7 separate regions of the Mus musculus genome follow, and all the other regions are reported to be linked to region 1. The links are microRNA targets in miRTarBase. Many come from high-throughput screens and were not tested one by one. Region 1 holds a microRNA gene; each other region holds the end of a gene's coding sequence.

Evidence for each region. The annotated mature microRNA mmu-miR-466a-3p reads UAUACAUACACGCACACAUAAGA and lies in region 1 at 1,782-1,804, shown strand. An mRNA with a match to its seed (bases 2 to 7 or 8) in the 3' UTR can be bound and repressed. Matches are read on the target gene's strand: a 7mer-m8 pairs with bases 2 to 8, a 7mer-A1 pairs with bases 2 to 7 and ends in A, and an 8mer does both.
Region 2: miRTarBase lists Fbxl17 as a target of mmu-miR-466a-3p. Seed matches in the 3' UTR shown: 7mer-m8 at 729-735.
Region 3: miRTarBase lists Myt1l as a target of mmu-miR-466a-3p. Seed matches in the 3' UTR shown: 7mer-m8 at 1,478-1,484 and 8mer at 996-1,003.
Region 4: miRTarBase lists Unc5c as a target of mmu-miR-466a-3p. The part of its 3' UTR that is shown has no 7-base or 8-base seed match.
Region 5: miRTarBase lists Adamts4 as a target of mmu-miR-466a-3p. Seed matches in the 3' UTR shown: 7mer-m8 at 788-794.
Region 6: the mRNA of Slc35g1 is a reported target of mmu-miR-466a-3p. Seed matches in the 3' UTR shown: 7mer-m8 at 2,324-2,330 and 7mer-m8 at 2,350-2,356.
Region 7: the mRNA of AI429214 is a reported target of mmu-miR-466a-3p. Seed matches in the 3' UTR shown: 7mer-m8 at 2,268-2,274 and 8mer at 2,263-2,270.

The regions. Positions count from the first base shown.
Region 1 is chr2:10,489,608-10,492,706 of GRCm38, forward strand. It overlaps Gm25285 (predicted gene, 25285), which reads left to right and starts at 1,729; the gene lies at 1,729-1,818. The region is part of intron 10 of Sfmbt2 (Scm-like with four mbt domains 2); the gene reads left to right. It overlaps Mir467a-6 (microRNA 467a-6), which reads left to right and starts at 1,441; the gene lies at 1,441-1,523. Mir669a-8 (microRNA 669a-8) reads left to right here and starts at 1,959; the gene lies at 1,959-2,045.
Region 2 is chr17:63,057,803-63,060,901 of GRCm38, forward strand. Fbxl17 (F-box and leucine-rich repeat protein 17) reads right to left here. Exons shown (of 9, transcript NM_015794.1): 9 at 1-2,609. The coding sequence ends at 2,469. Among named protein-coding and RNA genes, the nearest start is that of Gm34324, 19 kb to the left of the region's middle.
Region 3 is chr12:29,920,267-29,923,365 of GRCm38, reverse strand. It overlaps Myt1l (myelin transcription factor 1-like), which reads right to left. Exons shown (of 25, transcript NM_001093775.1): 25 at 157-3,025. The coding sequence ends at 2,885. Among named protein-coding and RNA genes, the nearest start is that of Gm46346, 6.5 kb to the right of the region's middle.
Region 4 is chr3:141,828,134-141,831,232 of GRCm38, forward strand. It overlaps Unc5c (unc-5 netrin receptor C), which reads left to right. Exons shown (of 16, transcript NM_009472.4): 16 at 274-3,099. The coding sequence ends at 439. Among named protein-coding and RNA genes, the nearest start is that of Gm15689, 150 kb to the left of the region's middle.
Region 5 is chr1:171,258,855-171,261,953 of GRCm38, forward strand. It overlaps Adamts4 (a disintegrin-like and metallopeptidase (reprolysin type) with thrombospondin type 1 motif, 4), which reads left to right. Exons shown (of 9, transcript NM_172845.3): 9 at 1-3,099. The coding sequence ends at 324. Among named protein-coding and RNA genes, the nearest start is that of B4galt3, 9.9 kb to the right of the region's middle.
Region 6 is chr19:38,403,141-38,406,140 of GRCm38, forward strand. It overlaps Slc35g1 (solute carrier family 35, member G1), which reads left to right. Exons shown (of 3, transcript NM_175507.3): 3 at 1-2,467. The coding sequence ends at 238. Among named protein-coding and RNA genes, the nearest start is that of Slc35g1, 8.7 kb to the left of the region's middle.
Region 7 is chr8:36,994,114-36,997,212 of GRCm38, reverse strand. AI429214 (expressed sequence AI429214) reads right to left here. Exons shown (of 1, transcript NM_001039220.3): 1 at 1,680-3,099. The coding sequence ends at 2,632. The region is part of intron 2 of G630064G18Rik (RIKEN cDNA G630064G18 gene); the gene reads left to right. Among named protein-coding and RNA genes, the nearest start is that of AI429214, 2.1 kb to the right of the region's middle.

The DNA of each region.
Region 1 (3,099 bases):
GATCAGGAGTTCTAATTCATGCTTTACTTCATGATGACTTAGAGATATGCCTGGGATTCATGTGATGCCCCCTATGTATCCCTATCTGTATCTGTTTATATTTTGTGTGGATTTGAGTATATGTATGTTCCTATCTACACAAATATATACATGTACACAGACACAAACAGAAACACACACACAAACATCAGTGCAACTCATCGATCCATTTGAATGACGTGTGACTTAGAGTTTTAAGATTCCTCAGTACTGAATGGGGAGAGGTCTCACTCAGCAGGTGAAGTCCCTTGACAGAGTCAGGTGGATCAGGAGTTCAAATTTGTGCTGAATTTCATGATGAGTTCATGATCAGCATGGGATTCATCTTATGCCCACCAAAAATGTGCATGTGTGTATAGTTGTCTGCATATTCACTTCTCTATATGAATATGCATATACACACATGCACACACATTCATAGGAATGGCCAGAGCTATGTCTCAGGAGGTGAGTACTCTTGCCAGTGTCAGGAGGATGAGGAGTTCAAATTCATGTTTAACTTCATGATGAGTTAGAGTTCAGCATGCGATTCATGTGATGCCCACCAAGAATGTGCATGTGTGTATAGTTGTGTACATAATCACTTCTGTATATGAATATGCATATACTCACACGCAAACATACTCCCATGAATGGCCCGAGCTATTAATCAGTTAGGAGGTGAATACTCTTGCCAGCATCATGAGGATGAGTAGTTCAAATTCATGTTTAACTTTATGATGAGTTAGAGATCAGCCGGGAATTCATGTGATTTTCCCTGTGTTTGTGTTTATGTGTATAGGGAAGTATGCCTGTACATGCGCGTATATGAACATGCATATATATATATATATATATATATATATATATATATATATATACACACCCACACAACTAGGGACACATACATGTGCACACATACACACATGGCAGTCATCCATTTGATTTATACGTGCTTATAATTTCATTGAGTGTATATTCATGGTATAGGGAATAATCTCACTTATCAGATGAAAACCACTTGCCAGAGTTAGGAGTCTCAGGAGTTCAAATTCATGCTTAACTTCATAATGAGTTAGAGATCACCCTGTATTTGTGTGATGGATCCTAGGTATGCACAAGTGCATATAATTGTGTGTGCACGTACATGTGTGTATATGATCATACATATAAATACACACACATACAAATGTATTCACACACACAGGCGTGCACACTCACACACATAAGAATGACACTCATTGATCCATTTGAATGATATATGTCTTAGAATTTTGCTGATTATAAAGTAGAGGGACAGTGAAGGTCTCACTCACCAGGTGTAAATAATTGGCAGTGTCAGGAGGATCAGGAGTTCAATTTCATGCTTAACTTCATGAGCAGTTAGAGATCATCCTGGAATAATGTGATGGCCCCTATGTATGTGCCCGTGTGCGTAAGTGCCTGCATGTATATGCGTGTATATTTTATGCATATACATACACACACCTACACACACATGCACACAGACATGCGGAAATGGCCTTCACGGATCCATTTGAATGATATGTGACCTACTGCTTTGGAGGTTATGTATGACTGGGCCAGGGTGAGGTCTCACAAACCACGGGAAAACCCTTGGTAGAGTCGGGAAGATCAGGAGTGCAAGTTCATAGTAAAGGCATGATGAGTTAGAGGTCATCCTGGCATTCATGTGATTGCCCCTACGTATGTGTATATGTGTTGATGTGTGTGTGCATGTACATATGTGAATATGATATACATATACATACACGCACACATAAGACACATATGAGCACACAGACACAGGGGAATGGCACTCGTCAATCCATTTGAATGATAAGTGACTTAGAGTGAAAATGCTTGCTAGAGTTAAGAGTATCAGGAGTTCAAATTTACACTTATCCTCATGAGAGATCAGCCTGTGATTCCTCCATGTATGTGCATGTGTGTATAGTTGTGTGTGCATGTTCATGTCTATATTTGAATATACATAACATACACACACACGTATAAACGCAAGCACACATACACAGACACAGGAATGGCATTCGCCAATCCCTTTGAATGATAAGTGATGTAGAGTTTTAGAGATTATGCAATAGGGGACATTGAATGGACTCACTCACCAGGTGTAAAAGATTGACAAAGTCAGGAGGATAAGGATTGCAAATTCATGCTTAACTTCATTTGGAGATCATCTTGGTATTAATGTCATGCAACCCATGTATGTGCATGTGTGCTTACTTGTATGTGCATTGTATGTGTTGACATGATATACATAACATAAACACACGTGTTTATGCAAGCACACACACACAGGAAAAAATTGCATTCATTTATACGTTTGAATGACATGTGACTCAAAGTTTTCAAGATTATGAAGTAGTGGGACAGTGAATGGTTTTACTCATCAGGTGTGAAAGATTGTGGATCAGGAGTTCTAATTCATGCTTTACTTCATGATGACTTAGAGATATGCCTGGGATTCATGTGATGTCCCCTATGTATCCCTATCTGTATCTGTTTCTATTGTGTGTGGATTTGAGTATATGGATGTACCTATCTACACAAATATGTACATGTACACAGACACAAACAGAAACACACACAAAAACATCAGTGCAACTCATCGATCCATTTGAATGACATGTGACTTAGAGTTTTAAGATTTTTCAGTACTGAATGGGGAGAGGTCTCACTCAGTAGGTGAAATCCCTTGACAGAGTCAGGTGGATCAGGAGTTCAAGTTCGTGCTGAATTTCATGATGAGTTCATGATCAGCATGGGATTCATATTATGCCCACCAAAATGTACATGTGTGTATAGTTGTGTGCATATTCACTTCTCTATATGAATATGCATATACACACATGCACACACATTCATAGGAATGGCCAGAGCTATGTCTCAGTTAGGAGGTGAGCACTCTTGCCAGTGTCAGGAGGATGAGGAGTTCAAATTCATGTTTAACTTCATGATGAGTTAGAGTTCAGCATGCGATTCATGTGATGCCCACCAAGAATGTGCAGGTGTGTATAGTTGTGTACATATTCACTTCTGTATATGAATATGCATATA
Region 2 (3,099 bases), not on the chromosome of region 1:
AGTGACTCGTTTTTCCATCTTCTATTATATTAATCACAAAGTTGAACAGACTGCGTTCTGTAGTCATCTTTTCTGGCTGAATGGTGCATTTGGGCATGTGGGCGCGCATGCATGCACAAGGCACAGGCTGAGGAGATCTCAGGCTACAGAAGAGTTAGTGAGCGAGCATCAGCCTGCCCTGTGTCCTCGGGCCACTTTCCATCAATGCTTCTCATCTCCAGATCTTTCAAGTGATGCCAAACTGTGGAAAAACTTTCAGAAATGCATGACTGTCTCTTCCATCCTGTTGTGAATAAAACAGCTGAATCAAACAACGCAGGCTCTTTTGGAAGTCTCCCTTTCTTCATGAGCTGCTGGCATCCTTACAGTTCGTTATTAGCCAAGGGAGATCACAGGACTGGGCGCTGAAGGATCTTAGATATGGTTTTAGTTTGGGAATATGTTCCTGCAGATGGCTGCGTTTTGGTGACTGAAGAGTCCCATGTAGCGGCAATGCGTGTATTAAACATCCCGCAGGAGAGCTGAGTTAATCTTCTAAGCATAGTGCCCAAGAGGAAAAACCTCCTATTTACCGATAGTCATAGTAGGCCTGACTCCAACTGACCCTTCAGTCGCAATGACTGTCATATTGCCAGCTGGTTTTGGTACATGTTCATGACTCAATTAAAATGGAAGAGGAAATAACATCCATGGGACTAGACTTTGGTTCCTATGGTAATGATGTAATAATACATATGTCACATAAAATCTCCTATTTGGTTATGAAAAAGGTACTTTTTGTTTTTTAACTGATTGGGATTAAAACAATAAACTGCCACATCAGAAGCATGTTGACAAACTGGAGGGAAACAAACCTTTTCTACAGAGAAGGAGTTGTTACACACACGTGCATGGTGTGCAAATGGAAGGCAGCTTCTGCCTCCTACAGCTAGCATTGCTTCCGCAGGGCTGGGATTTATAGGAAACAAACTCAAACCTCATTATAATTGTTAAAGACCAAAGACCACATACAGGGAGAATAAATAGCAAGTTCAAAAGTCAAGGTTTTGCTTTTCCTACTACGAAAGATAATCACTCTTTAGCTTAAAAAGGCTCCCTGCTGCCTGCTTATAAATCCAGACATAGGAGAGGTCATCTGAGCCTGAGTCCCTGCAACGGCTGACTGTAGAAATGTGTGACATCAAAACTTACACTCCTTTCCTGATAGGTACTGACAGAAGTAAAAGCTGGTAATACTTAATTAAACTAAAATATGTATTTCTGGCAAGTGTAAACAGAATCTTAATGAACAGATTTTCTAAATTCTCTCCTTAGCTCATACGTTAGCTAACAGTAGATCTTTGCAGTAGTGTAAGAACTATTTAAAATTATAACATGCATATATTCAAAAAACCTGTTCTCAATCCCAAAGCAAAGGAAAAAAATACAATAGGAAGATTGTCTACATACATCTCATTCATTAATCTTCTATCAATAACTACCCCACCTCAGAATATATTTTCATAATTACCAAAATAATGAAATGATCTGTAAAATTTTTAAAATAACTGCACACCATTAATTACATTCATGGCTTCAATGTGAATAATGCCAAGATTAGCCCCAAATGTCACTAAAATGCATCTTGACCAGTAACTGTCCACACAGTAAAAGCGAACACAGTGTTAATGCAAAACCAACTAAAATATTTATTACTTAACAGAATGCATTTACAGAATAATGAATAATTAACTTTTGTGAGCTGGCCAGGGGACATCAGACTGTTGCCTCCATATACAAATTTACAAAAGGCTTTATTCAGTCTACTTCCTAAGTTACCTATAAGACAGCAAGTTGTCCACCACTGGGCACAGTACGTTAGGCATAGCCACAGTGGAAGGCATGCTCTCTTCATGACCCAGGAAGGTTCCTCTGGCAGGAAAGAATTTACCAAGCGAGAACCTGACCTAGCATGTGTGTATGACAGTACAAGAGAGTGGAACTTTAGCTGTGTACTCCAGGATTTTGAGGGGTTCTAGTCTCCAGGCTTCTAGTTAGAGCAACATCACTTCTGTTTTGGTCTTCTCAGAAGCGTACAAGTAGCCTACCTATCACCGAACAAAGCCTTTCTGCGAGCATTTCCGAGATGTGTCAGAACTTAAAAGCTCAAAACTATACAACCAGTTTTCTGACTTGAGATTCCACAAAGTCTTTTTAGAGAAATAGACGTTTGAATTGGAAAACAAAACAAAAAACAAAAAGGTCCTGGTTTTCATAATCTTCTGTTTTAGGGAAAACAAGCCAGCTCACCTTGGGGTAAGTAACAGTGCGCTTATGCTATGCAGAATGCAAACAAGACACAAACGGAACACTCGGGTACACACACTGACAGGTGACGGTTAAAACCTTTCCGAAAGACCCCCTATTGGAGCCCCCCATTTCTCCATTCTGCTGAACCGGCCTGAGTAGACCTGGGCATAGGAAGAGAGTTAGGAGGTGGCAGCGGACATATTGGGGGTCCAGCCCATCTGGTAGGCTCTCTCCAAGGTCCTCTTGCAGTCCTGCAGAACGGTGCTGAAGGTGATGTGCGGGTACTGCTGCACCAGCTGCTCCACTGTCAATTCATTGACCTGTGAGCAGAGAAGAGTCATCATCAGACACAGGGGCCACCAACACCATGCAGCCTGTGCTCACAGGGGTGCTGTGGGGCATGCGACGTGCCAGGGAACAACAGCTCTCCCTTTCCTTTCCACTTAGCAACATGACCAAGGATTTGCTGAGCGCGTGCATTTTTCCTCTGGTCTGACTTCTCTGATACTCTAGAATTGCACTGCCCGTATGGATTTTTAATTAAACATGATGTCATGAAATCAAATGTACCTGCTAAACATAAATGACTAAATGACTGGGATTTACCAAGATCGCAGTAATGCCCATTAAGAACACAGAAAATGGGAGGAAGAACGCAGTAGGAGCATCTCCTGTATCTCTGACTTCTTCACCCATGGAAAAGCCTTTTTAGGCTGGACACTGTACATTGGGGTGGGGGTGGGGGTGGAGATACACAGGATTCTAGATAGAAGTGCAAAGGAAAATGTTTATTTTTCTTCCCTTTAAATG
Region 3 (3,099 bases), not on the chromosome of region 1:
CATGATGCCCGGGGGTGCGTATCCACACGTGCCCCAAGTTCCAGCCTAATCCCACAGTGCTGCTCCAAAGGCAAGAGACCCAGGGTGGGAGAGGGAGGCGGAGGGCTCCAGGAGCCCAGATGGCACGCTCCAGTGAAGACTCAGACCCATTAGAGATCCTTCGTGCTACAAACGTGGCAACACCTTTTTATTCAGAGTAAGATGTGTTCACATCAGCATGACAAAGTTTGTACAAAGTTCACAATTTAAAAATGAAGTATCACAGCAACTTGTGATTCCACACATTTATAGCAAAATTAAAGTGTCAACAAACCCATGCCGTGTAGTACAAAAATAAATCAAACTTCAGTTCCACAGAGAGCACAATAAATAGTTTATACAAAATTCTGTCTTAATAAATGATTACTTAAATTAACTTAGAAATGAATATGAACAATAAGTTATAATAAATATGCTCTGATGACTCACAATAACCCCATGTGGAAGGTCAGCATTCTAACATGTGACACTTTGTGATCCCTATATATAGTCACAGATAACTTTTGATTTGATATTATGTACCACCGTTACATGAGCAGCAGATTTGTGCTTAGAACCCCTCTCCATTGTACATAGGTGATAACAATAAGAATCCAAACTGATACTACCTATTACTCTACTAAAAGCATTACTACATTGGCCAAGAAGCTGCAGACAAGACGCGGTGGGGAAATGCATGTGCCGCTATGAACAGAGGCCCCCCGGGTGTGGGCCTGGGACCATGTGTATGGCATCAGGTGACAGTAAGCACCTTGCTTCAGCTCTCAAAAGGCAATTCTGAGCATGGCAGCTACAACTAATCGCACAACAGAAAGGGGGCGCTGGACAGAGAAGGTCCTGCAGAGCCCCAAGTAATTACATAATCTTTTCCCCAGCTAGTTATTAAAGTCCTTGTGGAAAACTGTAAGCTTTTGTACAGTGAACAGTATAAAGTGCCGCTGGGATATTCTTATATTTATACATATATATATATGTATATATATATATATATATATATATATACCGAGGTTGAGTATTGTATCAGAATGTTTGTCGTGAGATCCCTGTAGTCTCCCTTAGTAACCGTATTGGGTCAGCCTCGAGGGCCTCCTCTATAACTCATCCACTTCAGTGTCACAAGGCGACTGACACAGGATTGCACACCTCCGTACGGATATATAGGACAAGGCGAGTGCAAAGAGCCGACTGGCACATTGTGGGGACAATGACCCTGTAAGTCCTGTTCTGCTAAAAATATTTTTTTTATTATTTTTACAAAACCCATCCTTTTTTTTTTTATTTCATAACAAAATTTTAAAGTACTTTTGTACTTCCTGCATAACATCAAGACATGGAAGAGAGAGATGCTACTAAAAGGAAATCAAGTCGACATCGGGGAACACAACACATTGTCAAAGACTACTCAGAAGGGGCGCAGCAATCAAAAGTGGCCGTATGCATACATATAGTGCAGTCATTTGGGATGAAACCATCAAATTTCGAAGGTATCGACAAATCTAAGATGATCTAGTTTAAAGCAAAAAAGTGCCGCAGTCTATTTAGTTACTTTAACATCTGATTGCACTCTTTCTCAGGTTAGGTCACCACGAGTCACACAAGGCTGTGCAGACGCTAGAGTCAGCTGGACCCAGCGAGGGCAGAACGTGAACGTCCTTGGCCTTGGTGTCCAGTGTATTCTGGATAGGACCAAGGCTTATTCGAAGTCAGAGTTGGGGCAGGGAGGGGTAGGGAAGGGTAGAGCTGCTTCCCCACCCGCCCAGCAGAGAATCCCATCCAGTAACCAGGGCAAGCACAGCCGTTAGCCTTCATCCTCAGATGTGAAACAAGAATAATCAATGATGATTCTTTTTGAAAGTGAAAGGGGAGATAAATGCTTAAATTACCTGTTTGCTCAGATGGAAAAAAAACAATCAACGGCTGCTAGGTAAGCTAGATTGTGGTAACACTTCAGAGGGGCACGGGGCTCTAGGAGAAATAAGAGAAGTGTGCTCCAAAGGTTACTGAAAATGCAAAGGAAATCTTCGTGTTGTCCACCTCTGACAAGCTCCTGTCTTAACGGAGTCTCCACAGTCCCACCATGTAATGTTTAGGAGTTAATTAAAAGTGCTGTTTAAGCTGCTTTGAATCTTCTGCCAAGTTTCCATGGCTTGATGTTGTCTTACAATAAATTACTTATTTCATTTCTTATAGTTAATCCATATGCCATTTCCTTGGAATGCAAAAAACCTCATTTATTGCCCCCACCATACACCATCCTCCTAAAACAAACAAACAAAAAAGTCACATAATATTTCCAAGCATTGTTCAAAAATAAAGCATTTTTTTGCAACCAATTCTTGCTATGAAACAATATGCACACAAAATGTATTTCTTAAATTCCACAAAGTCCTCCAACCTGAGGCAAAATGATAATGTCTAAAAGTGGCCAGGAGGCCACAAAGTGATCGTTCAAACCTGCTTTTTTTTTCCTTTTTCTTTTTTTGTCCATTTCAGTTCAAAATACTAAAACATTTAATCACTAAAGCATTAAAAAGAATTTACACTCTATTTATTTTCATCAGCTTACCTCTTCAGAAATATAGAGACCCCCAAATGTGCAGACAGCAGCAGCTATAAACATTACATGGCAAATCACACTATGTCAGCTTATATGAAAACGTACAAAATGTGAATGTATCCAAAACTAGTCTGCAGGTACTCTCTCGAGAGCACACAAAACCATTATGAAGTCTTGTAGCATAACACTGTTCCGACAGAAATAAATATATAACACTTTCTGGTAAGTTACAGCAGCAAGAAACAAGAGGCATCCTTTTTAAGCATGAGTCACCACTAGAGCAGCTGTTCAGACCTGAATTCCTCTCACAGCCTGCTTTATATTTTCCAGTAGGGCTTTATTTTCTGGACTCTGATAACGATCTTGATTTGTATACATTTCCGTCAAAGTAGTCACGTAAGCATCAAAATTTTGTTCATTGATTGGATCCTACGAGATATTAAATAGTAGTTCATATACAACTTTCATTTTCTGAATAGTATATTCACAAAAGCATAAAACAG
Region 4 (3,099 bases), not on the chromosome of region 1:
CTCTTGATTTCCTGTTTAGGACAAAACCCACAGACACGTTGTCTCTTAAATTATCCTATTCAGAGTTGAGGTTAACAAAGTTAAACAGCACATGTCCTGTCTGGAGCTGATCTAATTAGGAACCGAGCAATCATTAAGTGGAGTTCACTAGGATCCACGGTAGGACTGAAATGCTTCAAGACAGACAGGTTTAGTGCCAACGCAGAGAAGATAATACTGTAAATAGACCTGTAAATCACACCTCTAAGCATATTTTCCCATTCTTGATTGCAGGTACTTGAATTACTTTGCCACCAAATCGAGCCCAACTGGCGTAATCCTGGATCTTTGGGAAGCACAGAACTTCCCAGATGGAAACCTGAGCATGCTGGCAGCCGTCCTGGAAGAAATGGGAAGACATGAGACAGTGGTGTCCTTGGCAGCAGAAGGACAGTATTGACCACACTGGAACTAAAGCTGAAGGACACAATTACACAGGGAGTCTGTGTTCAGGGGAACCACATCTGAGGAGGAAATCCAGATAGGACCAAGGCGCTCTACAGGCAAGATGGCAACAGGAAACTTGGGGGACAGATATAACCACCAAGGTACACGCCCACTTCATTCGGACAGCACCACCGCGGGAGTTAAGAAAAATTGTGTAAATTTGTACCTTGAATTTAAGAATCAATCTAATTTTCTCTTCGTTGGGCTGTATGCTGTATGGTACAGGATCTTACAGTTTCCTAGGAAACGCTTTTTATTGCTATCCAGATGTATGGATAAACTTTCTTAACAAACCCAGTTTCTACAAATGTTGTTTACATCAAATTGGACAGGGATGCAGACACTGTCCATGGCTCGTTCTATTTTTGTTCAGATCATTTGAAGTTGAAGCTGTGGACAGTTTATTGTGTCTATTTCAGATTAGTAATTTACAGAGAAATCACAGACTTTTGCTAAAAATCATGTACATCAAGTGTCTCAGATAATCTTCCCATCAGTGTTCTGTTTCTGAAACTTGTTGGACCAGTATTGGCATTGGTATCAGGGAAGTGGAGAATCTAAATGTAAAGGAGAAATTGAGAAAATTCCTTATATCCTGGGGTAACCCCGTTGGTATCCTTTGGGAACAGAGCTCTAGCATTACAGGGGAGGTAGCTATTCATGTTCCTCCACACAAACATTTCTGTACCACATGTGTGTTTGTAATAAGCAATTTCAAGTGTTTTTTAAAAAATATTATCATTATTATTGATGATTATTACAAATATTCTAGTAAAAAGAATTTCCTTTTGTTTTAGTTAGCAATACTGTTAGTGTTTGGTGTTGACTAGACCTGCCTCCCTTTCTTGCCTAAAGAGGTGGGCATGGTCACCAGTTTAGTTCAATAGCTTTTGCTTCCTTGACCTTTGGTCTACCATTCTGTGGTGGAAAAGACAGAAATGCTCAATGGCTATGTCTGCTCTTTCAGCTTGCTCGGTCAGAGTCTTTCTGTTCTTGCTCTTATCATGAGGAGAGTTCTCTATGTAAAGTTCATTTACTCTTGTGGCTATCTGGGAGGCAGTATGGTTGTGGGAACAGTGTCTGAACTAGGAATCAGGAAACCAGTTATCCTTGTGGAGTTGGTCCCTGTATGGCTGTGTGACTTTGGGGAAAACATTGAAACTCACTGGCGCTCATTGCCCTTCTTTGTAAACTTTGTGGTGAGACCAGATCATCTCAAGGTTCCAGAATGCTGATCTCCCATTCAAATGTCATCATCCTTTTCTATCTTGCAGGCAGGATTGATTTGAACAGGGATTACTTCAACACACATTTGTTTGTCTTTATCTTTGTGTCATTATTGCATGATGTTGTTCGCTTAGAGATGGCATCCTTTTCTTACCATTGTCTTGACCTCTGCTGGGGCCCTAATGTCCAGCCTTCCAACTAACTGTAAATTCTACTTTACTCATTTATTGATCTCCAGATCTCAAGACCATTTCTACAAAAAGCCCATGCAGCTGAATGAATTGGTAACATTTTTCTTTCTTTATTACTCTTTGCTTTAGTAATATTCAGTTGTATTTATGTAGATTAGTGCTATAGGACCATCCTATAAAACGTTAGTTGTGCATACTCCTTGGGACCATCCTGGGTTTTGTTTGTTTGTTAGTTTGTTTTTATTTTTTGATATAGGAACTCCATTCAGCAGATAGTGAATGAAAACTTAGCAGCCCCACTGACATAGTTAAATAGAAAGCACCTATGCCCTTAAGTCAGAAACTTCAAAATATGGCTGTGGTGTACTTTGGGGCTAGAAGTATTCAGGTTGCTGAATGGATTCCATTGGGAATCATTTTGCCTAATACCCTCTGATTCTGTTACTTCCTGATACACGCTAACTCTTCTATCCTAGTCATTAAAGAACTGTGGGTACAGTTGTGGAGCCTCTTCCTTCATGCTGTTTGTCTTCTCTTTCAGAGATGTATTCTACAGTCTCTTTCTCTAACCATATTCATATATAAAAATCCTGGTCCCACTGACTGTGGAAGGGAAATTCTATACTCCTAACGAAGTTTGTTGGCTGATATCTGTAAGCATGAGTTTGTTCGAACTTTTAAGAGTTTGATTGATGTTCTTAAAAAGTAAGAGGAAGAAAGACTTTGCTGCCTCTTGAAACAAGTGTGAAGGTTCCTCTACACTTCTTGGATTTTGGAACCATCAAAGAAATCCAAACTGAGAGGTCTGGACTGGATGTTCTGTGTAACTTCAATGCTTTGTGCTAAGTCAAGAGGAACAAATATGTTGCTATTCTGGTTAATTTATCCTAAAAACTGTTAAGTCACCAACACAGAAATACTGAATATAACCAAAGCAACATTATTGAATATTTTGAGAGTCCTCGTGTTCAAGCATCTAGAGATACTTGCTTTTGTATTCAGACTCTCACAACAGGAAAAGGAAAAATGACTGATCTCTTATGAAGGAATCATATGTCATAAAACCACTTTCTATCATGTGAATGACAGTTTCCAAACTAGAACATACCATACATCAAATAATTTTCACTAAGCAGTCTGCTCTTTCTCCTTGGGAAGAAAATGATAGTTGTTAGATTGCTGCTTTCCAACACAC
Region 5 (3,099 bases), not on the chromosome of region 1:
CTTTCTGACGGTTCTTACGCCCTCAATGGTGAATACACGCTGATGCCCTCCCCAACAGATGTGGTTCTTCCTGGGGCAGTCAGCTTGCGCTACAGCGGAGCCACAGCAGCCTCAGAGACACTGTCTGGACATGGGCCGCTGGCCCAGCCCTTGACGCTGCAAGTCCTGGTGGCTGGCAACCCACAGAATGCACGTCTGCGGTACAGTTTCTTTGTCCCGCGGCCAGTCCCTTCAACACCACGCCCTCCTCCCCAAGACTGGCTGCAACGCAGGGCAGAGATACTGAAGATCCTTCGGAAGCGTCCCTGGGCAGGCCGGAAATAACCTCACTGTCCCGGCTGCCCTTTTTGGGCGCCGGGGCCTCGGACTCATCTGGGAGAATGAGCAGGCTTCTGCAACTGCCTCCTGCTAAAACACAGTAGGGAGGTGTAGAGGGTGAGATCTGCCTGCCTCACTGCCCCAAACCGCAGGCTGGCCCTGCCCTGGCTTCCTGCCCTGGGAGGCAGTGATGTCTTGGTGAATGGAAAGGGGCTAGGTGACAGTACCCTATCTACTAAACTGCCCCCTCTACCCTGCAGGTCACAGGAGGAATGGGGGGAAGACAGGGTGGGTCCTGGGCCCTAGTTGTATTTATTTGGTATTTATTCATTTTTATTTAGCACCAGGAAAGGGGACTAGGGTCTTGGGGAAACTCACCCATTATAGCCCTAACCTAGCTATGAAATCCAGGGTGTTGGTGACAAATATGAGTGGTGTGTGTGTGTGTGTGTGTGTGTGTGTGTGTGTTTATGTATGAGGTACAACCTGCCCTGCTTTCCTCTCCCTAATTTTTTTTTTTTTCTGGGAAAAGGAAAGTCAAAGGTAGGACTGCCTTCAGGGAGTAAGGGATGATTGTGTTTTTAAATTGAAGTTTGCTATTTATATGCTCTTTTTGGAGTCAGACAAATGTGGGTTATATTCTGGCCCCGCATCTTTGAGCATTAGTTTTCTCATGTGCCAATAATAATCCCTTAGAAATTGGTTGTAAGGATTAAATGATGTTAATAAAGAACTAGCATAGAGCCTCTCACTCAGTAGGTGCTCAAGGAATGGCAGCTGCTGCTCCTGTGGTCCTTGTTCTCCCAGTCACCCTCCACAGAGGCTCTGCCAGGCACTCGAAGTCCACAAGGATTCATGTCACTTGTGCCTATCTTTAGTCCCAGGCTCAGGACCTTCGGTTGGCAGGACCCTGTTTAGGATTTGGAGAGAGTTCAGACTCTCAGATGGCCATCTTGTCTATTACTTCTGTAGGCACGTAAGCACCTGCAGCAGACATAATAAACACTTGGCAAAGATAGTCAACAAGAACATGAAGGTACAAGAACAGAACCCAACAACTCCCTGGACACAAACAGGAGCTTAGTTGTAAGAATGGCGGAAGGGGCAGAGAAGGGATGATGTAATAGCATCCTGGCATTCCAGGAGCTGGTGGATCTGAACTTGAGTTAGGGTTCAGCATCTTATTACCTGGGTGATGTTGGGCAAGTGCTGATAAGTGACCTTGGAGTACAAGTCTGTGGAATGGGGCCAGTAATAACTGCTCTGACAGCATTGCTCTGTGCTCAAGGATTTTCAAACAGTAAAGGCCGTTGTAACAGGAGAGGTGACCTTTGTGGTGACAGACTGGGACAGTGACTCCAGAATCAATCAAAGTAAGCCCAACCAACATCTAGGAATGGAATTCAATGAGAGGAACAGGATGTGGTCTGGTATTGCCTAATAATCAACAAAGCAAAGCAAAGCCAAAAAAAAAAAAAAAAATCCTACAAGAGTGGAGCCATCTGTCAATCTGTCCAGTGGTGGCGGAATGCGAGGACCAGCACTGGCTGAAATGGATCTCCCTTCCTTGAGGGGTAACCTAGTCAGTCTTATGTGCGTCAGGGACTGGCGAAAGTGTCAGTGGAGAATTTCACATGCTAAGTGGCAAATGCAGAGCTTCTAGGATTGTGGAAGGGACTGAATGCTGAGGTAGGAAGGAGCTGTAGGTTAGGAAGACCCTGAGGTGAGGGTGGACTGTGGAGACACTAAAGGCATCTTGCTCTGCCAAAGGAGAGTAGGGGTGAGAGGGGGAGAGGCAGGCACAGAGGGCAAGGCTGTTTGTGTGCTGTATTCATTGGGACCAGGCTTGGCTGGTCAAGTTCTAAACGAGGCAGGGCAGAGCGTTGTAGAGTGCTCTGTGCCTTACACCAGCAAGCACAGTGGCTGCTCTCTCTGCAGGCTTGAGGGAAGGGCTGGCTACACTCCTCTCTTTAGCGTGCATTGCTCTCACTCCCATGCTTGCTCTCTGATGTGGGCCTTGTGGTGCTTCTACCAACCAGGCAGGGGGAGGCAGCAACAGGACAGTGGCATCTTCAGTTGCTTCATCTCAGTGGTAAGATTGGACCAACAGTATGTTTATGGAACTTAATACTATGAACTCACGGTACAAGCAGAGCTTTGTTGAAGTGAAGGTAAAACACAAATGATATACGGCCGTGTCCTTAAAGAGCTCACACTGCATCCTGGGGGAGGGGGGAGGTTGTGCAGCACATGTCCACAAAGAGAGTCAAGGGTCAGTCTGAGGAGCTATAAGATAAAGGCAAAATGGACTTTGTGAAGCTTGAGCCTTGTACCTGAGCACCAGGGCTCAGGAAGGAGGAACGTGATTTGGGCTTTGGGAAGTGGGTCATTATGGTAACGCTTCTCACATTTCTTTGAGGTTCTTGGCAATTTACTTTGTAAGTCACTGTCATATGTTATTTTAAAGAAAAACCACTTTGTTCACCAGGTAGGGTTCTTACTGGCACGAAGAAATTTTCTCCTTGGGAGGTAGAAACAGATGGGTCGGAATTTCAAGGCTATCCTCCGTGGCAACATCATAGCATAAAGGCCAGTTTGGTTACATGGAACTTTGTCTCAAAAGAGGAGGGGGCTGGAGAGATGGCTCAGAGGTTAAGAGCACTGACCACTTTTCCAGAGGTCCTGAGTTCAATTCCCAGCAACCACATGGTGGCTCACAACCATCTGTAATGAGATCTGACGCCCTCTTCTGGTGTGTCTGAACACAGTGACTATGTACTC
Region 6 (3,000 bases), not on the chromosome of region 1:
TCTCATACTCATTGGACTCCTAGGTTTGGGGGGTCAGATATTTATCACTAAAGCAGTTCAAATAGAAAAAGCAGGACTCGTAGCGATAATGAAGACCATGGATATAGTCTTTGCTTTCATCTTTCAGATTGCTTTCTTTGATAATGTACCAACTTGGTGGACGGTGGGTGGGGCCCTCTGTGTGGTGGTCAGCACCACTGGAGCAACCATTCGTCGATGGCTGCAGGGTTCCAAATGAAGTGTCACTGCTGAAACCTGGTTTTTATTTTCAAGTGTGCTGTCACCTAGCTCAGACATCTTGCACACCCACACACATACCTGGAGAATCTTCATCACTCATTGGCTTTCTTTAATACCTTTCATAAAGTGCCATTTTTAAACATAGTGCGTTTTTAGTTAAGAGTAGCTAGCTAGCCGGGCGTGTTGGCGCACGCCTTTAATCCCAGCACTCGGGAGGCAGAGGCAGGCGGATTTCTGAGTTTGAGGCCAGCCTGGTCTACAAAGTGAGTTCCAGGACAGCCAAGGCTACACAGAGAAGCCCTGTCTCGAAAAACAAAAACAAAAAAGAGTAGCTAGCTAGGCTAGCCTCACAGTCTGGATAGCTTTTATCTTTGCTTTGGCTCCTTGGTTGGGTTACCATTGATGAGAAGGGAGCTCATTTGAGGAATTTCAGAAATTTTTATGAGTACAATTTTTAAAATTTATTTCTGACCCGGGATGTGGATGGGAGATCCTCTATTTTAGCAGTGCACATAAGAAGCTCAACGTTGACAATGCTGCTCTAGTTAGTACTGTGCTAATCTGTTGATTGCAATATCATCCCACTTAGGATGCCAAAGCTGCAACTTGGTCTAGGTGCCTACCTACCCATAGGAGTATAAGCGAACCAGCCTTATTCTCAAGGATCTTAGAGATGATTACTACACTTTTAACTCATGTGTGCCTTTTCGTTTTGATGCTGGGACTTTTTATATGTACTCTGAACAGAGCCTTCAGCTTGCCACATGTGGTTAGCAGTTCTCTCTTTCAGAATATTAACAACTCTGGCTATCATTTTGAATTTCAGTTGTCTCCTGTTTTATTGAAATTGCACTTTTTTTTTAACATTCCGAGATTTCCAACCTTGAAATCATGAGAGCAAAATCTTGGCGTGATCAGTGTGTACATTCCCATCCTGAGGTGATTTCACTTCAGATGCGGTGGTTTTTCTACAAATTCTCTTTGAATTCATAGTGTGATGCCAAATACAATTTTTTTCTCAGGATTGTACTAGGCTGGGCCATTATCAGATTGCCCAGATTCTACCGTTTTCATTTTCAAAACCCACAGTTCTAGAAGGTTCATCCCGCAGGCTCCCTTCGCATTAAACCAAATATTTATACCTTTACAGTACATGTCTGTTAATAAACGTACAGTCTTTTTCCATCTTGGAATGGTATGTTATAATGCTTGTGGCATACGAAAAATGTAAAGACTTGTTACTCCATAGTTGATTGGTTTTCCCAGTCTTTTGCATATACGGAAAGAACACAGGTACAAGCCAGTCTTTGACACACAATCCTAGTGTGAACTTAGACAGTAGATTCTATCTGTGGAGCACCAGCAGGCCAGTACTCCTCTGTGAAAGAGGAAAACTTGGTAGATTGGGAGTAAATGACCATGCGTCTTTGGGGCGCTTTGGATGCCTTTATGGTGAGGCCATTGTGGCTGCCACCTCTTACTTTGTCAGACACTGTCTACTGTTATCATTAGCTGCAGACTTGAGGGGCTATTGCTCTCTCCCACACTCCTCACAGCTCTTCTGGAGGAAGGGACTGGTCTCCTGGATCTTACATTTAGCTATGAAAGGATCTTCTCCAGTAGTTCCTAAGAGGAACTTTGAGTTTGGTGGTTTTAAATCACCTTAGCCACCTGACATCCTACATATGTACTTAGCTGAATCACCTCAGTTGCATTTGACCCCGCATAGATCTGCCAATGGTGCCGTTCTACCAACATCCTAGAAAACACAGAGTCAGCAGACTCTTAGTACTCTGGAGGGGTCTTAGAGGGCATCCTGAGGGATGACGGGAGGGAGGGCTGCAATAGCTGGTTTCCATAGCAGCCTCCTCTTACTGAGTTCCACTCCTGGAGTACCACCAAACTTACACAATAGAAGAGTGTCTGGGATAGTGGAAGATAACCCCTTTGGAAATACATTATATTTCAACTGTGTCTTAAGTACATGGATGTCAGGATATGTGGCTGACATTGGAGACAATGTTTCTTATACCAACCTTTACAGGGTATGATTTTTAAACAATGTTCAAGTGGTATACAAGGCTATGTATTGTAACAATTACGGGGGTTTATGTATTTTCCAAAGATTGTAGTTTCTATATCTTGCAAAGGGAAATATTTTTTTCCTAATGTGTTTTTATTTTGTAAGTAATAAAATCATAAAAGAAAGATGTTGGGTTTTACAACTATAGAAAGTGTCTCACGACTCGTTTCTCTTCTCGACCGGGCGCTTCAAAACTCATTTTCTATAGAAGACTCGCCTCTAGCCGTTTTGTAGGCTGTGATCTTAAATTTTCAAACTTTATCTGTTCCTCATACACAACAAATACAACATCTCCAAAATAAATAGTAATCTGTTAAGAGACCTTCACTTTTCTAAACCCACAGAGCTCAGAGCAGCTTGAAGTTGTGTTGTCTTCTACAGCTAGGTTCTGTAGTGCCCTAGGAATTCTTTCTACCCTCACAATGTCTGTCCGCTGCTACCCACAGAGTGACTACACCTGAGTTTTTTACAGCTGTAGTCTAACTAAGCTACCTACTTAATACGTTGACCTTGATCCAGCTGCCAAGGTCAGGAGTCTTCCTGAAGCCCTGTCACTTCAGTTCTCAGGAAGCCACAGAGGTGGCTAGTGGTCCACACGGTCATGCCCATATGCCCCCCTCCCCCACTTCCTCTTCACTGTAGTTTCCCACATCCCAGATGTCCTAGGATCAGCATTT
Region 7 (3,099 bases), not on the chromosome of region 1:
TATCAGAAGATGACCAAGTTGGCCATCAGTGGAAAGAGAGGCCCATTGGTCTTGCAAACTTTATATGCCTCAGTACAGGGGAATGCCAGTGCCAAGAAGTGGGATTGGGGGTGAGGGAAGTGGGGGGTTTGGGGGACTTTTGGGGTAGCATTGGAAATGTAAATGAAGAAAATACCTAATTAAAAAAATAATGAAAAAAAAGAGCCATCGTTTGCAAATACAATTAACTTTCACTCAAATAATCTGATGTGTGGAAAACAGTCTCTGGGTAATGCCATCAATGCTAGCATTTTTATAGAAAAATAAATCATAAATATGAGCTATCAAGGAACATGTGATTTCCCCCCATTAATGGCAAACTGCTCTTCAAAAAATGATAGTTTGTTTGACCGAAAACTAGGACATAGAGAAGATTCATAAAATCATTATGACCAAAATGGATTGTTTATAACAATCCCGCATTGTTATATACAATATAGATACATATGTGTACGTTATATACAATACACACACGCACACACACACTGCTATATTGAAGCCCTCAGCTTCATCTTGTTTTCTTGCCAGCAATTAAACTCTTTATGTAGTATATATTCATATTCTTTATTTCGCTGTTTTATTCTTGCATGATTATCACACACACACACAAACATACTTTATTAATGGTCAGCATTTCTCAGAAGCTGCAATCAGTCTGCTTCTTTTCTCTCTCCTAGCTTCTAGAAGTTTGTCCCATCTCCGGCTTCAATGTCTAACTACATGCCAATGATTTCCCCACTAGTCTAGCCTCTAAACCTTTCCTGTTGACTCTACATATAAATAACCTGCTTCTTTATACTCTCAATGTATATGTCTCAAATACACCACACACTACTTAGATATAAAGAATTATATTCAATCACACCTTCAAATTCGCCATGTTGTAGTCTTCCTAGCTGTATTGTGTTTTATTATACAGAAATATAATAAGAACATCCATCAAAACCAGTTAGGGTAAGGAAAGGATTTGCTAAGCTTACAGAGTACCACCCATCATTTAGGGGTGACATGGTAGTAACTCCCAGCAACAACTTGAAAGCGGGAACTGAAGCAAAGACCATGGAGGAGTATTGCTTACTGACTTGTTTTTCCAATGGATTTCTTAGCTTGCTTCCTAACAACCCAGTACCTTGCCCCAGGGTGGCACCAGCCACAGTAGCCCAGGCCTTGATATAATCAAGAAGTATCCCACAGATATGGACATAGGCTAGTATGATAGAGGCAAGTGCTCAAGTGAGACTCCCTCTTCCTAAGTGGCTCTAGTTTGTGTCAGCTTAGATAGAAACCAGCACAATGACCCCTTGTCAGATTCTTGATTCTGACATAAACATTCCTGATAGGGTCTTTGTTTCCCTCTAAACCTTTAGAAGCCAGCTCTCCATCATCTGCCCCTCCCCAACATTCCTATGCTACAGGCTCTCCTACCTGGTCATTAAGCTCTGAGACTGCAAAGACCTTGCCTAGCACAAAGTTCTCAAGTCTTCCCACAAAAGCCACCCCCACACACCCAAGCCAAAACATGGTCACATCTGTCACAGCAATGCCCTACTCTCTGGTATCGATTTCTGGTACCAATTGGTTGGGTTTCTGTTACTGGGGTGGGGTGGAGTGTGTATGTGTGTTGAATAAGCAAAACTAGCTTAGAGAAGAAACAGTTTTATTTAGTTAATAGGTTATTGTAGGTCATAGAGGGATGCAGAGACAGGAAGTGAAGGCAGAAACTTTTGGGCAAGGACTAAACAGAACGCATGGGGAAATGTGACTTACTGGCTTGCTTTCCATATCTTGCTGAGCTTGCCATGTTACACAGCCTGAGACTACCTGACTAAGGATGGCAGTGGCACAAACCCTCCCGCCTCAATCATTAAGGAAGTAAATGCTCCCTCAGAAATGCCTGGAGACCGGTGGAGAAAGGCAATTTCTCAGTTGAGGTTTCCTCTCCACAAGTGACTCTAGTTTTTGTCAAGTTGACAGAAACTAAATAGAATTCTGTCTTAAGGAAATTACTATTCAGTCGAGTACACAGGTACACAAGTCAAAATCCTAGTGCCTTTTCAAAGTTAGTCTCCACAGCCTCTTTATCACCAAAACCAGCCCTCATCGCTGCTTCCTAACTATCTTATATCTGTTTACTTCTTTCTCTCTGTACTGTCCACCACCACTCCAAACTACCATCATTCATATGTGTGTGTGTGTATAGAGAGAATACCACACACACACACATATACATACATATATATATATATATATATATATATATATATATATATATATATATTCCCCTAGATTACAAAAGTTTTGCAATTTCTCCAATTGTCTTCCATAATGTGAAAAATCTATTGGATTTAATGATTTAGACTTCAGTGAAGGAAGCAGAAGTAAATCTTACATTAGTTTCTAAATTTCCTCTATATGAGATGGTAATTACTCAAATCCACACCAGGTACATGTATGCACAACACATGTTATCACTAATCACCAATAGTCACCATCCCCTGGTTGGGCATAGTACATATCATCATTAGTAGTCAGCACCTCCTATCTGGTTGGACGTGTGAGTTGAGAATCATTAAAAAGACTTGTACAGTCTTCCTACACCTGCTTTGAATATGCCCGCCCAAAGCCGGAGCTTCCCTTCAGCATTTTCTCAGTCAGTCGCTTCCAGATGATCCTAGGATCATCTGAAAGCCTGGGGAAGCCCTGATGTGCTTCTCCAACACGGGTGAGAAAGTCTGTGGTATGAAGGTGTTCATCTATTTTCTCTTGGAGTAGTAGTGACTGCAGTAAAGTTTTCCTTCGTCTCAGGAAGTCAGACTGAGCCAGCTCTGCTCTTTTGCTATTACAGCTGGGACACTGCGAAGAAATGTGTTGCGTAATCGCCCCTATGTACGCCAGAGTCGCTCTCGTGTTTTCCAAATAGATTCTGTTCCACAGTTCATCAGGGATCGTACAATTGAAAGCATCTACCTCTGAGGTCTCTGCAATCCATCTGAGCTGCAGCCTTTTGGGTCTGTTGCTTTTCTTAGCTCTTAAATCCTGTCTCTGGTGAATCAAGTTTAC